Drosophila melanogaster: one gene and its partners. The protein of the gene in region 2 interacts with the protein of the main gene of each other region in a pairwise test. Each region holds a gene or a part of one and is shown on either strand. Other genes may lie near its edges.

The links. Proteins that work in one complex are often made in the same cells at the same time.
Region 1: the proteins of Pen (region 2) and Ccn interact in a two-hybrid assay, tested with the Drosophila melanogaster proteins (one large-scale study listed by BioGRID).
Region 3: the proteins of Pen (region 2) and Pomp interact in a two-hybrid assay, tested with the Drosophila melanogaster proteins (one large-scale study listed by BioGRID).

Annotation. Positions count from the first base shown.
Region 1 is NT_037436.4:17,688,248-17,693,024, reverse strand, and holds the start of Ccn (Ccn), read right to left. Parts: upstream 3,011-4,777; 5' UTR 2,550-3,010; intron 1-2,549.
Region 2 is NT_033779.5:10,055,095-10,060,621, reverse strand, and holds Pen (pendulin), read right to left. Parts: upstream 3,723-5,527; 5' UTR 3,418-3,722; intron 3,001-3,417; 5' UTR 2,926-3,000; coding exon 2,863-2,925; intron 2,802-2,862; coding exon 2,488-2,801; intron 2,424-2,487; coding exon 1,853-2,423; intron 1,776-1,852; coding exon 1,155-1,775; 3' UTR 527-1,154; downstream 1-526. Other genes in the region: Cpr31A (cuticular protein 31A), read right to left, coding at 4,750-5,527. UniProt on the Drosophila melanogaster protein: Binds specifically and directly to substrates containing either a simple or bipartite NLS motif. Promotes docking of import substrates to the nuclear envelope. Seems to act as a cytosolic receptor for both simple and bipartite NLS motifs.
Region 3 is NT_033779.5:20,785,968-20,789,608, reverse strand, and holds Pomp (pomp), read right to left. Parts: upstream 1,954-3,641; 5' UTR 1,827-1,953; coding exon 1,824-1,826; intron 1,760-1,823; coding exon 1,494-1,759; intron 1,207-1,493; coding exon 1,071-1,206; 3' UTR 511-1,070; downstream 1-510. Other genes in the region: vari (varicose), read left to right, coding at 1-23, 186-362.

The DNA of each region.
Region 1 (4,777 bases), on a different chromosome or scaffold from region 2:
TGCCTGACAATCGGCGGACACATTTTGCCACACCGTTCGCCCCTGGGCGATGCGGATTTTTCCGCTGCTTTGATTTTGAATAGCTCACTTACTTAATAAAAGCGCGAGTAAAAAACGCCCTCCCACCCCAGTCTTTGTTTTCTAGATACCCCCACAGTCTGTGCTAATGCTGTGCAAATTCAAGTTCGTATTCTTGAGGATTCCGCTTTACGACCCTCGCTCAGATCAGATCATAATACTTGGCGTGGTATAATTCACAGCTTAAAGTGGCTCATGAAAAATAAGTGAAAAGTCGGGGATTTAAATTGGCAGTTGTTGTAGAATACTCTACCAATTTATTCCGATAAATACAATCAGCATGTTACTCAAATTTCTATTTCAACAACATCTTATTAGGAGGTCTCGTTTTGAAAAAGAATTGTCTCCTGCTATTCTCGTTCATCTTGTTAAATTCCAGAAATTTATTTCGCGTGCCCCAGTAAAGCACACTTAACTTTGTGCCCCCGTCCTCGATCAAGTGTTGTTTATTACGGCTACAGTATTTTTCAGATCCTTCGACGGGGAGAGCATGCCAACGCAAATCTACCTTGAGAAAGCAACAATCAGTCCCCCAAGGCCGCAACAACAAGGCAAAAAGTTGGCAAGTAAATTTATTTATTGAGTCACTTACTTGGCAAGAAATCTCCTTGCCTTCCCAACATGGAATGCGTGTGTGTTTGGCTTGAATTTATGTGTGTTTTGGCTGCCGACTTTCACTTGGCTTTCCACACATTCGCCTGGTAATTGTATTAAATTTCAATTAATATAATATGTGCCTAGGGTGCGGAGGAGTTCATTTGAAAAGTATTTGGTTTATGAAGCTTATCATTTTCATAACTTCTCGAGTTCAATTTGCGGAATGGCTTAATATAAATTTTATGATATGCTATCAAACATTCTGTTTTCAAATCAAAAGCATAATACATCATTTCACAACAAATACAACAAATACAAATAATACAACAAATCACTACCATACAAAATTAATCTAGTCATCTGTTTCTATATTTTGAGTATTAAGTTGCTTATTTAATCGAGTATTTCAATGTTTTCTTACTTGATTCAAATTCTGGATGGTTATTTTTCATCGAAACGCTTCGTAAAGGTTTCTTATTTTTTACGGCCATCGAAGCGAACTTTGTCTTGGCTTTATTGTTGCTACTGTTGTTTTGGGGAATATTCCAATTTTGTTGGTCATAAATTTTAGCGAGACTGGCAAATGAAAAGCACAGCGTAAAAGAAAATATTTAAATTTCCTCGGTTTCCCAATTTTTTTTTTTGTACATTTTTGGCAGCCCTTTTTTCCAGTTCGGTTGAAGGGAGCGGGAGTTCTGTGAGAAAAAATCTGCTTAAATGTACTTCCGTCATAAAATAACGGTAATGCACAGCAATGTGCGTCTGTGGGTGTGGGCATGTATGTTGTGTGTGTGTGTGTGTTGGTGTGTTTGTGTGTGCATGGCTCACGTAGCAGGACGAGCAAGAAAAACCTTTTTATAAATGTTGGTTCGCAGCTTCCGCAAAATAATAAAACAAAAAGGCAGCTGCCAGGACATCCCCCGTCCAAAGGCAACTGGAAAGAATGCTTTTAAATTTGACACACACACCGCACACACACACACACAAGCACGCACTTGGCGAAAAAAAAAATTAATAAATTTTGTGCAACAAAGTTGCCTCTAAGGCACCGATTCGCAACCGACCATGAACCCACTTCCCCGCGTTGCTCACTTCGGTTTCAATTTTTTTGTTCTGTTTTTATCCTTTTTTGTGTTCTCTGTTTGTTTTGATGGCCCAAAACTCGGTGCGGCAACATTTGTTTGAAGTTTATTTTGCATATGTTTATTTTTGTTTACGCAATGTTATTCCCCTTTGTATTATGTCCTTTTTTTCTGTTTGCTGCAGTGTCAATTGTCGCATTGGCATGCGAAACTTTTTTTCGATGGGTAATTTAAAAAAATATACCGCATTTTTATTTTTATCAAGAGAAATACATCATTTACCGCAATATAATAACAAAAGAAACTATTTATCTCATACTCTACTCATACCACCACAAACTTGGCTAAAAAAAAAATTAAATGCCTCACATTAATGCAAATATTTAACACTTAACACTCCCATTAACTTTTAATTGGAAGCTTATCGCTTTAATATGGTAGCTTTTAAAACAATAAAACAATGACGTTCGTTTAAAATTACTTCCACACTTGTGCTTCAAATTTTTTTAGGGTTATATATTACCTATTAATCGATGCTTGCTCAATGCACGAACTAATTAAAATTGTCCAACGTAGAAACAAATAATCAGCACAAAATTCGTTCAACTAAAAACAATAGATATTTGCTAGTGCATTGAACCTCCATTTTTGCCACATTATGTAGATTTATTTGAAGCCAATGGCACAAACGTCAAAATAAACGCATTAACACTGCGGTCAGTGTTGATTAAACTTGTATTTTTAGCAATATTATAATAAAATATTCAACAATAAGTATACCATTTGACATACCTTAAATTAGCCGGACTTTCTGCCCACACTTTTGATTTATCGAGGGGGTTCAGAGACCCCTGGCAGTGGCAATTGACCACTTCACTGGCTGCTCGTGTATTTGTTTTTCTACTTCTAGGTACTTTTTTTTATTATTTTCCTTGTAGATACGCCCGCAACACACGTCAATTAACCTACTTTCGTGCTGGCAGGAGGGCTGGGCAAAAAACCCCAAACATAATATAACCACTAGAACAATACTCGCAATACAACGAATGGGCCAAGTTAATTTGCTTAGACTTTTGTTTTGGTTTCTATCTTTTTTTATTCGCCTTTTGTCGTTTCGATTGCTCAAAGTATTTCCGGCAACACACGTACACACACCCACGAGGGACACTTTAGCCGGCTTTTTTGCCTTCTTGCGCCAAAATCCAATAAAACAGTCTTAGAAGACCAGGTGATATCGCTCATACGACGCGTGTGCCGTGCAGCACGAACGAGTGACAAAAACGAACTGAAACTGAGGACGGAGGACTGAATTCAAATCGGAGTCCAAGTTGGCTGACCAACTGCGCATGCGTCACTTTTAGTCAATGAAAAGCTTCGTGCCACAAGACATTTGCCGCCAACAGGACTCCGAAAATGGCACTCGTTTTCGGAGTAGTCTGTTGCTGATGTTGCTTTTGGTGTTGCTGTTATTGCTGTTGCTTTAGGTGTTGCTGCTGTTCCTGTGGTTGTTGTCGTTGTCAGCGGCAACATAATCATCGGCGCGTGTTGCTCACTTTGTTGGCAGACGACTCGCAAACCGAAAACACAGCCAACAGAACGCACAACAGCAATCCTGGCGCACAATTCGCGCAACGTCATGTCAACGAGACAGTCGAGACAAATGCCACAGATCCCCTGCCAAAAGGACACCCCTCTTCGAATCCTTGAACCATTTTCAGGCCCACCCATTGTCAATTGTCTTGTGGGCTTAATGCTTCTTTGCCTCTGTGTTTTCCCTTTTATTTCAGCGCTGTCTGTTTAATTTCTTTTATCAACAAGCCGAGGTCTGCAGGCTTCCATCCTTCGTGTCCTTCGTGATATCCTCTTGTTGCGTCGCCCACACTCAATTGCTTATCAACTATCGGTGCATGCAGACGGCCTTTTGTAATCGCCAGCTTATTTGATTTATTGCCCTCGCTTTTGATTACAAATACATATGTGCTTAAGTTAATTGAGACTATACCACTTTTAAATTTTTGCTTCTTTTCTGCTTACTTTTTCATTGGCCAACATTATGTTCAAGGAACTATTGCATATTATAGATAATAGGGCGAATGGTTCACTGAAACATGCTCTTAAACCTCGCTGACCTCTCGCAATGGTCTTAAGCTTCGTATCTGGTCAGGTAAAGCCCTTGTAATCGCCTGTTAACTTGACATGACGATGCTTAACTGATTTATCTGTCTCATGGCTAAGACCCGGGCATTGATAGACATGATGGATGGACGAATCGATGAATGGACGTGGTCGAGGAGGGACAGGAAGTGAATTCTTGGTCCGATGAAAGATTGGCGAAGCTTTTTGCTACTTTCCAAATTAAACCGCTTAGTCGAGCGTTTAAATTTAATGCATTTGAGCTGCTTAGCCTCGTCTGCAGTTTATGTTTTTAGTCTATTTGCACACCATCCGACTGCACTTTATCGGCATCTTTACTTAGCCAAATTGCATCTTGGCCTGGTCCAGTGTACAGACTTCAATACTCTCGCATAAATTGCGGTTCTTTGTGTACAGCATTTGTGATTTAACAAGCAGGGTAAATAAATTATGCAAAAATACACACCGAATCGCAAAGAATTCGCCACTTGTTGAAAGTTCCGCCCCGGTATTGGTTGAATACAGTGTATCTCTACATTACACAATGGCATTACGGCTGATTATACTCGTGTAAGACTCGTTATTTATTATGAAAATCTGCTAGCTCAGAATTTAATTTAAAAGTTTGTGGGTTTCGTCACGGCTCAGGCAAATACAATTTGCAATTTCACAAATTTTAGAAGGGAACAAATCTTAAATACGCCACAAAATATGCCATCTTCTGACCATGGAGGACCAACAGGAGCGGCAGCTTAGATGGCGAGTGGCGTTGGGAGCCGCTTAAGCCTCCGGCCGGTCCATTTTAATCCCTTTTAAATTGATATTGTAATTGGTTTTTGTATGTAGTTATGAATTTCAATATGTCGGCCGGGCTTACCCTCTAGTTC
Region 2 (5,527 bases):
AACAAGATCGTACGTGGACATGGTTGTTGATGTGACGTCGTCGCTCCACTGATTAAGCTTACCCTCTGGATCACTGCAATAACCACGAACGCTGCGATTCATCTTGATTGAGTTGTGCGTGGTGCGCGTTCTGTGCCAGTAGTAGACTACTACTCACTACTCACTCGTCGGTTGTTTAATCATTATATCTAATCTGGAACTTTTTTGGGGTCGCTGTCCACCGCTGCTCGAGTGGGCGTGGCTGCGGTAGATAGCTCTTAATCTTCCGGCTATCCGCTTACGGCCCAAATGCGATTTAAATGTACAAGACAAAAAAAAAAACATGTATTGACTGCATGACTTTTTATCGCGGATTTACGGACAAAAGGCGCCAGCGCATCGAAGGGATAACATTTTAAATTCGATTGCCTGCATCGGTGTATATCCCAATAGCATTCCAAATAATATACAAAAAAAAATGCCAAGGCCCAAAAATAGGCTCCAATTTTCGCAATGCTCAAATGCAGCTTAAATACACATGAAATTTAATTAATCATTCAAACAATTCATTATTTATTGACAACTTTGAATATAAACATGCGATTCGGGAATGAGGACACTGGTGTGAAGGGAATGAGTTGTTGTTGTTGTTGTTGTTGTTGTAATGCTTGCGCGAAGGTGGAGGATTAAAAGCGTTTCCTGTATACATAAATAAATACTAAACAGCCTAAAATATATCCGAAATGAGCTCGAAACGTATCCAATAAAAAGCCTAGTACACGCAAACATAAGGTGCCCCCTGTACAGACGGATTCTGGAAATACTATGATCCACGGATCCCAGCCAGCGCAGCTGCCCGAGCGGTTGCATCGTGAACGAGGAACACTGCCAGAAAGATCCATGCTGCAATCTGTGAAGTCTAGTCTAACGCGAGGAATACGGGTATGTTAAATGGGGATTCATGCGAGTGGATTTTGCCAACCCGATTCAATTATGACTTTAAGCTAATGCATTCGCCTGTGTTTCCATGCATACCTCCAAAGTGTTTGGGAATGTTTGTAAGATGTGATGATGAGTATGCGTATGTTTGACAATGGCATAGTGTGTGAGCGCGGTCGAAGGTGTAGTTGTTTGTAAGGCGTGTGAGCGGAGTTTGGAATGTGTGGGGTGGGCGATTAGAACGTGTAGCCACCTTCGGGAGCCTTGGGCTGGGTGGCATTGAACTCGAGGGCTCCGTTGACCTCCTGAGGTGCGAGCTCTTGCTCGGCCTCGTCGTCGCCGTTGCTGAAGTATGTGTCAATGATGGCGTAGGCCTTCTTGTAGACCTCCTCGTTCTCGTGCTGCTGCAGAGTTTCCAGCTTGTCTAGACCGCCCATCTCCTCGACCATCAAGCATAGGTTCTCGGTGCCACCAAGTTTCTCCGCCAGGGCAAACAGATTGGATAGGCCCGTCTGCACCACCTTGATGGTACGCGGATCCTTTGTGTCCAGCAAATCGATAAAAGGCTTCAATATTTTGTACTTCTCAATTAGATCGACGATCTGTTCGGGAGTGCCAGATGTCGTGGTGTTTGTCACCGCCCAGGCAGCCTCTTTTTGAGCCTTGAAATCACCCTTCTCCAGCACGGTGCGCAGCTGCTGGAAGATGCCGGCCTGAATCACAGCCTGGATCTGCTTCTGGTTACCTGCTGTGATGTTGCTGACCGTCCAGGCAGCCTCCTTCACAATGTTGCTTTTGTTGTGCTGTAGAAGGAGTCCCAGCCTTGGTAAACCTCCAGATGCAATTACAACGTCAGTCTAATAAAAAAAAAAAAAAAAAACAGGTCGGTCAGGCATGTTATAACAATAAGGATTAAAATCATTTGTTTTCCTACCTGTTGATCTGTGCCAGTCACAATGTTGCCAACGCTGCGCAGGGCGGGCACAATAATGCTCGGCTCGTCCATTTGCAGCAGTTTGACCAGGCGCGGCACTGCGTCCGAGTCGACCACAGCCTGGATCTTGGTGTTATCGTCGTCCGTGACGTAGGACAAAGCCCAGCAGGCGTCGGCCAGCACTTGGATGTCCTGACTAAGCAGAAGCTGCGACAGGACGGGCAACAGCCGCTTCACCTGATCGAATGGCGGCGATGGATTCTTGTTCCGGCACAGGTTGGACATCAGCCAGACGATGTTGCGCAGAAAAGAGAGCGGTGTCTCATTGTTGATCAGTGGCAAGATTCCGTCAATTACGTTGTGGTGGATGACAATGTCGCGGGCGGCGGCTCCGTCGCCGGCAATGTTGCCCAGAGCCCAGACTGCCTGCTCGGCCAGGTTCATGGACTTGGACTGGAGCAGAGCCACGAAATGCGGCACAGCATTGTGTTCGATAACGCAGCGCGTTTGGTCGGATGTGCCAGAGGCGATGTTGGTAAGCGCCCAAGCGGCCTCGAACTGCAGCATTGAGCTGTAGCGGCGAATCAGGGGATATTCAATAATGCTCTCATCAACATTCTAAAGCCACTACTCACTTGTTGGTATTCTGCAGGAAGCGTATGCAAATGGGCACAATACCATGGCCGATCATCAGGTCGATGGGTGGATTGCGCTCCCGACTGAGCATCTTGCGGGCAGACTGCATGCCCAGAAACTGGCGCTCCTGATCCTCGCTGTTCATGGCCGCCACTATCTCGTCCACGGACAGCTGCACCGGCGACTGGCCATTGAGCTCTTTGAGCGGCGACGTTAGATCCTCGTCGTTGATGTTGCGCCGCTTGAACATCTGGTCCTCCTTTTTGGACTTGCGCAGCTCGATGGTCACCTCATGGCGGCGCATGCGTGAGTCCTAGGGCAAAAAGTGAGGTTAGTTCCGAACGCAGTTCTGCGGAGGATCTTGTGTACATTACCTGCGTGTTAATGCTGTTGGCCTTGTAGGAGCCCTGTCGTGAGTTAGAATCCGCCTTACTCATTTTTTTTTTTTTTTTGAGTTTTGTGTTTTTTCTTTAAAAGTTTAGATGTTTGCTGCTGCGATGAAATGTGTGAAACTGAAAAGGAAAATGTGAGTCAATGTCAGGAAGAAGCAGAATCAAGGGCTGCTTGGGTTCTTTTTTTTTATCTCTGTCTTTTATATTCCTTTCGGCGTGCAACAGGGGCGTAACCATGAGTTCAAAAAAGGGGTTTTCTTTGTGGCCAGCAACTCGATATGTTATTCCTATGTGTTAGCCAACATAAGCCAACTAATTTACAAGATTATTTTTAACGGGGCACCCAATCGCTCAAGCCCCCGCGAGTTAAGAACTACGCCTTTGGTTGGCAACAGCTGCAGCAGCCGCCATTTGCCGATTCGCGGAAAGAGGGGAACGAGAAGAGGAGATCACGAAGAGGCGGTCAAATTGATGAACGCTAGTAAAAAGCAGTGGGAAAAACCGCGAAAAGGAAGAAAAGAGTACACACGCACTTACCTTTGTACCTTTGCCCTTTTGAATGCGTGTGCTGGCTTTTTCGAATGGAAATTCACTTTACTGAATTTTTACACAATTTTTATCGTTCCCTAACGAAACGCGAGCACGAGAATTTGTCGAGCGTGTTAGCACGCTGAATGTGTCGGTGAAACTGTAGACAAACGTAGACAGTACTCTCGTAATCGATGCGAAATTGGAGTCAATGCCTGCTTGGCGCCGCCAGAATTTACCGTTTGATTTGAAAAGCAAGCCTTAGTGGCGAACGAAACGCAGATGGCTATCGATCTTTGTCAGTTATCGAAATTTGATGCCAGTGTGAACGTAGGTGCCTAATATCGCATGTTATCTTGCTGTTAACTTCGGACAACGGCGCGTAGAGAAAAATAATGTACATTTTTTATATCCACATAATTATTACTAAATTTTTAAGTAACTTATTATTTTTTTAGTATATATAAATTTCTGGTGTAACTTGTTAACGATCGCTTGCCAAGTGGTGAAGCAGCTTTTGGATTTCAATATGTTGTTGTGGAACGTGGAACGTGTGCGCATGCAAGCCAAATTCAGCCAACAGCTGAATAGAAGTCGGCTGAATCTGCACACCACGCGGGCTCATTTAAATGTTTATGACAAATGTTTATGTTTTACTTTCTCGTCTTTACTTTTGTAAGGAAAACCTTCATCTTAAAATAATATAATATTAATAATGTTTAATATTAAGGCTATACGTTTAAAAGCTTCAATTACAATTTCCATAAATATTTATGTTCAATCTTTGTTGTTAATTTATTCAACGAATATGTGTTAAAATGTAAAGCTCTATCCATATTTAATAAGACAAAAAATAGCCACCTAAATCAATATTTAATTGGATAATAAAAGGTACTGATTTTATCTGTCTACCTTTAAATATAAAATTTGATTGTCTCTTTTTTTTTGCTTGCAAATATGTTATCATTGCACTAATACCATTTAATCTCTCGATTATCAGTAATAATGCAATAAATGCGCAGATATTTCCGGTTAATGCTCTTTTCATTTTGTTTATATGCGGTTGTCAGAAATAAACAAAATTTTTTTTAGAGATGATTGCTGCCAATCGATTTAGTCCCTTTTTCAATTGTTTGTTTTTCGATTCTTTGAGAAGTAATCCGCTAAATTAATGTGGTAAATTAATTATTAAAATCGCCGCATTTAAGCTTTTGAATTATCAGCTTATAAATGTAACTAAACTACATTTAATTTGAATTAGTAGACAATTTTTTATGTATTCTCGAAGTATTTTATTCATTTCCTTATTAATTTCAACAATATTTCCGTTCATAATCCAATCTAGGCCGTCTTCTTGTTCTCCTCCGTAACTGGAGCAGCGGTGGTGGTGGTGCTGCTGGCCTCCGGGGCAGATCGTGCCTCCACCACGTCGGAATCATCGCTGTCAGGAGCTGGGGAGGATTGACCAGCTGGCGAGTAGGGTGGGAACTGCTGATCCTGGGGATAGGTTTGCTGCTGCTGCTCCTGCTGCTGCTGCTGACCCTCGTTGTAGTCAATGGGAGTGGGTTCCAGCTCGGGCTGTTGGGCCACAGGAGACTCCACCACCTCACCCTGCTGCTCGGCAACCTGTTGAATCTGCTGTGGGGCGAACACCTGCTGGTGTGGATAGTAGATGGGAGCGGGCAGCGAGGCAACGGGAGCGGAGGAAATATGGACGGGAACTGGAGCTGGAGCGGAGACGGAAACCACTGGAGCAGCAACTGCGCGGGCAGCGACAACCGGTTCCCGCTGGACCACCGCATTGAATCCGTTGATGTCGTCGGCGGTGTAGGTCACTGTGCGCTTGAAACCATCGGCATCCAGGACGGAATAGGATCCCACAACATTGCCACCGTCACGGGTCTCCACCTGGCTTTTGATATCGCCGGTGATGCTGTCGTGAACGCCGTAGGAGAAGTCGTAGCGCGGCGAAGATTCCAACTCTACCTGTTTCAGTACAGCGGGAGCAGCAGCCACAGTCTTGACCACTGGAGCAGCGACCACGGGAGCAGCAGCCAGGGTCTTCACCACCGGCGCAGCAACGGGCAGAGCGAGAGGAGCAGGAGCCACCGCCTTGACA
Region 3 (3,641 bases), about 11 Mb from region 2:
AGTCCCTAGCGTCGTTGTATGAGGTAATGTGCCCTGACCTATCCTTAATTACAGTGTCGTATAAATTGTGCTCAACTCAATCATCCGCTTGGCGCACCTAGGCCACCCTAGTAGCCCTGTTAGATCTCTGCCTGAATACCCAAACATTGCTTAACACATTCGCTTTCTATGACTTTTCCGAACAGGACGACGACCTTGTCGCCACCGTCGAGGAGAGCAGCTTCGTCCAGCGCAAGTATGAGAAATACTTCGACATGGTCATCGTGAACGAGGACTTCGATGAGACGTTCCGCCAGGTGGTGGAAACGCTGGATCAGATGAGCCACGAGGAGCAGTGGGTGCCTGTCAACTGGATCTACTAGAATCCCATGACCCTTTGCAATTGCGCCTTTATGCATATTGAAGAATATATACTATAAAAATCGAATGCCTATCATCACAATTAAAGGGATAATTCCAGTAATTGAAGCTTAAACTCGCAACACAATACAAATTTAGCGAAGAGCATTTAAAACGCTAGCGATTTCAATATTTATTGTTGATTAGACGTGTTTTGCTTGAGGAATGTAATGCGTTTTATTAACTATGTTTATCTCAATTACTGTCATTTTCCTCTTTAAATATAAATCATGTATATATGCAATGTTTGTATAAGTTGAAATGCGCCCTCCGTTTACAATTCAGTTTTCCTTAAGTATAAGCCTAATTTTACGAAACGAATTCGTCCATTTTACCATCTCTTGTTTTATTTTTACAAATAATGAATGATGTCAACGCATATCTCTTCAGTTTATTATTTTAACGAATCTCCTCAGTACAACAACCTTCTGCCAATATTTTCGTGTAGTTTTTAGATTTGTTTGAATAAAATGTGTAAGTTTAACGAACTAGTTAAATGTATTGATGTGGAGTTAAACAAACGAAATACGAATAAATTTGGCTCAAAGAAATGGTGAATTTTGTTTACCTCTAGCTGGTCGCACCAAAATATATTTTATTTGCTGATCTTAAGAGTGTCTTAGAGTTTAAAGGCTGAATGCCAGGCATTTAGCAACTTCATTTGCAGGGACTTATTGGTAAATTCCCAGAGATTTCTCCACCACAGCGTGGGGCTGACGCATATGCTCGCTGTTCTCGGGCAAGTTCATGAAGTCCTCGAAGCCAATGGAATCACAGCGGCCAGTCAGGACATCGTCCATGAAGTTGCTGCAATATAAAGGAAAGAATTAATATAGAAGATAAGTAGTCATTGCTGGGTTTTCGGTAATAATGGTACTATGGGAATCACAGGTATACTTGGTATACACGTATGTATGTATGTACGTATATAGGTATCCATTATTAGGCAAGAAGTTTAGATTTTCTAGATTGTAGGATATCTCAGGTTTCTCCGGGATTCTTATAATGTGGAAACAGAAGATTTCTGAATGCTTCCGCCCTTGCAGAGATTCCTGTCCAGACTGAGAAGCTCCCAGACCGGGCTAGATGCTCACCTGGACGAAAGGAAGGGCAGGCGGCCCACCTGACGTGCGGCGAAGCGCTCCATGCCCATCTTGAGGGGCACGCCGAGGCCCTCGTGGTTGCGCAGCATCTGCATGTTGCGGTTGTACTGGTGCTCGTTGTAGTTCAGCTCCGAGTCGCGCAGCCGGTGGACGTGGGCCAGTTGGTTCAGGCAGTTGGCCTCGGTGGGCATTCCCACACGGCCGGTGGCGTTCAGCACGGACACCTCGGCGGGCTGGACTTTCAGTGATGGCTGATACTGTATTGCGAGGGGTTTTCGTTTCGTTAGCGGCTCTACTAAATGCACTCGGCGAGGTACTTACCATATTCGTAAGCGCTTTTAGAATAAAAATGCGGCGAATTATAATTGTTTCTTGAATGACAAACAAATTCCGTGCGAATTAGAGCTGGTACTTGTGTCGATGCCTACTCGATATCGACGATAATTGACAAGATAATCGAATAGAAAGCAACTTATCGACTAGAATAGAATCCAGTAGTGTAGAAACCAGACTGGCAACTCTTTACATGTGTAGAAATCAGGATGGCAGCTCCAGACAATGCTAACATGGATTCAATCCATTTTGACCCACATAAATTTTAGCTCGGTTTCAAACCATTGCAGGGTACAAAAATGCGGCATGTCCGACAAGTGAATTTCGATTTGAAATTATGAACTCCAAATTTTCCAATCCAATTTGATTATTTAAACAAAATATTTCTATATATATAGCAACAACGCAGCACTATTTGAAATACACTTTAATTGTAATCGTGTTGATGGGTAAAAGTCGGTCTATGCAAATTGGCGTTATTAGCGCACTTAACACTTCGGTCAAGTGACGAACTTGAGTGTTGTGATTAATTACACCCTCGCTGGCCAGCAACGCACATCCGAAATATACAAACGTATCGATCTCGGCCGCAGCTCTAATCAATTCGATCAACAAAAGAACTGAATCCGCTGGCTGGCTGGCCGGGGTTTTGTTTTTCTTTTCACCCACACCTTTTAGCGGCTTTTATGATCTTCTGCTCCACAGAGACGCGATTCATTTGCATCGAGTGACAAACGCGAACGAATGCGAATGCGAGGAGACCAAATCACACGACAGGGCTTAATTAGTGCATGGTCACTAATAAAGATTCGGCCAGTGGATGTTGTGTTAATCAAACTCCCGCACACAATAGCCCAAACTGTCTCCGGCCAACCGATCCGATCCTATCCAATCTGAACTTGAAAATCCAAATGGAAACATCAACCGGATGGATGGATCTTCACCTTCACTTTAGACTAAAAGGTAGTACGTAAATTATGATTTATGCCCATTTACTGAATTTTACAGTGCGAAAAAAGCGAACTACATTCCTGCTTTGTAATTTACAACTTTAATCATTTTAATATTGGTATGGATGAGCATTGCAATACAAAGTCAAATAGTTTATAGCATGTATAGCTATAGTATTGATACAAAAACGTATTAGATAATTTAAAAGATCAGCCCTATTTTTAATGAATGAATTCTATATTAAGAAACTGACAAAATGATAAGTAAATTTAATCAGCAGACAATTCGAGAATTTACAATAAGAATATCGCAACGGGCATATTTATGGCGTCGAGTTGATAAAAATATCGTTAGTTTTTATTACTTTGAGATGCGATTCTTTCGGATGCAACTTATGGTGATTTAATCTATAAGTCTATAAATAAATTAAGTTAGAATAAACACAAATTACTCGCATCGATTTTAGCTTACTAGCATCGTTCCTTTGACTTATTTGTTAATACAATCATTTCAGTTCCCTGTGAATTTTGCCGCTTGAAGAGTTCAAAAGAACTCATACCACGATTGATTTATAACGTTTACTTTCTGTTTTACTGCCTTTGACCAATTAATACACAGTAGACCAGTACGAGGCGAATCAACCAATTCAGTCAGTCCAATATATGGCCATAAGGATGGCCAAGAGCCAACTATGTATGGTCGAATGGAGATGGAGATCTCAGGGCGAGAAGATCGATATGTAAAAGTCAAATAAAAATATAACGTCGAGAATTAACATTTTTTCACAGCAATAAATGCATAAAAGTCGAAGATGTGTATTCAAAAAAGAGAAGAGTCGTGGGTTCAACTAGGGGA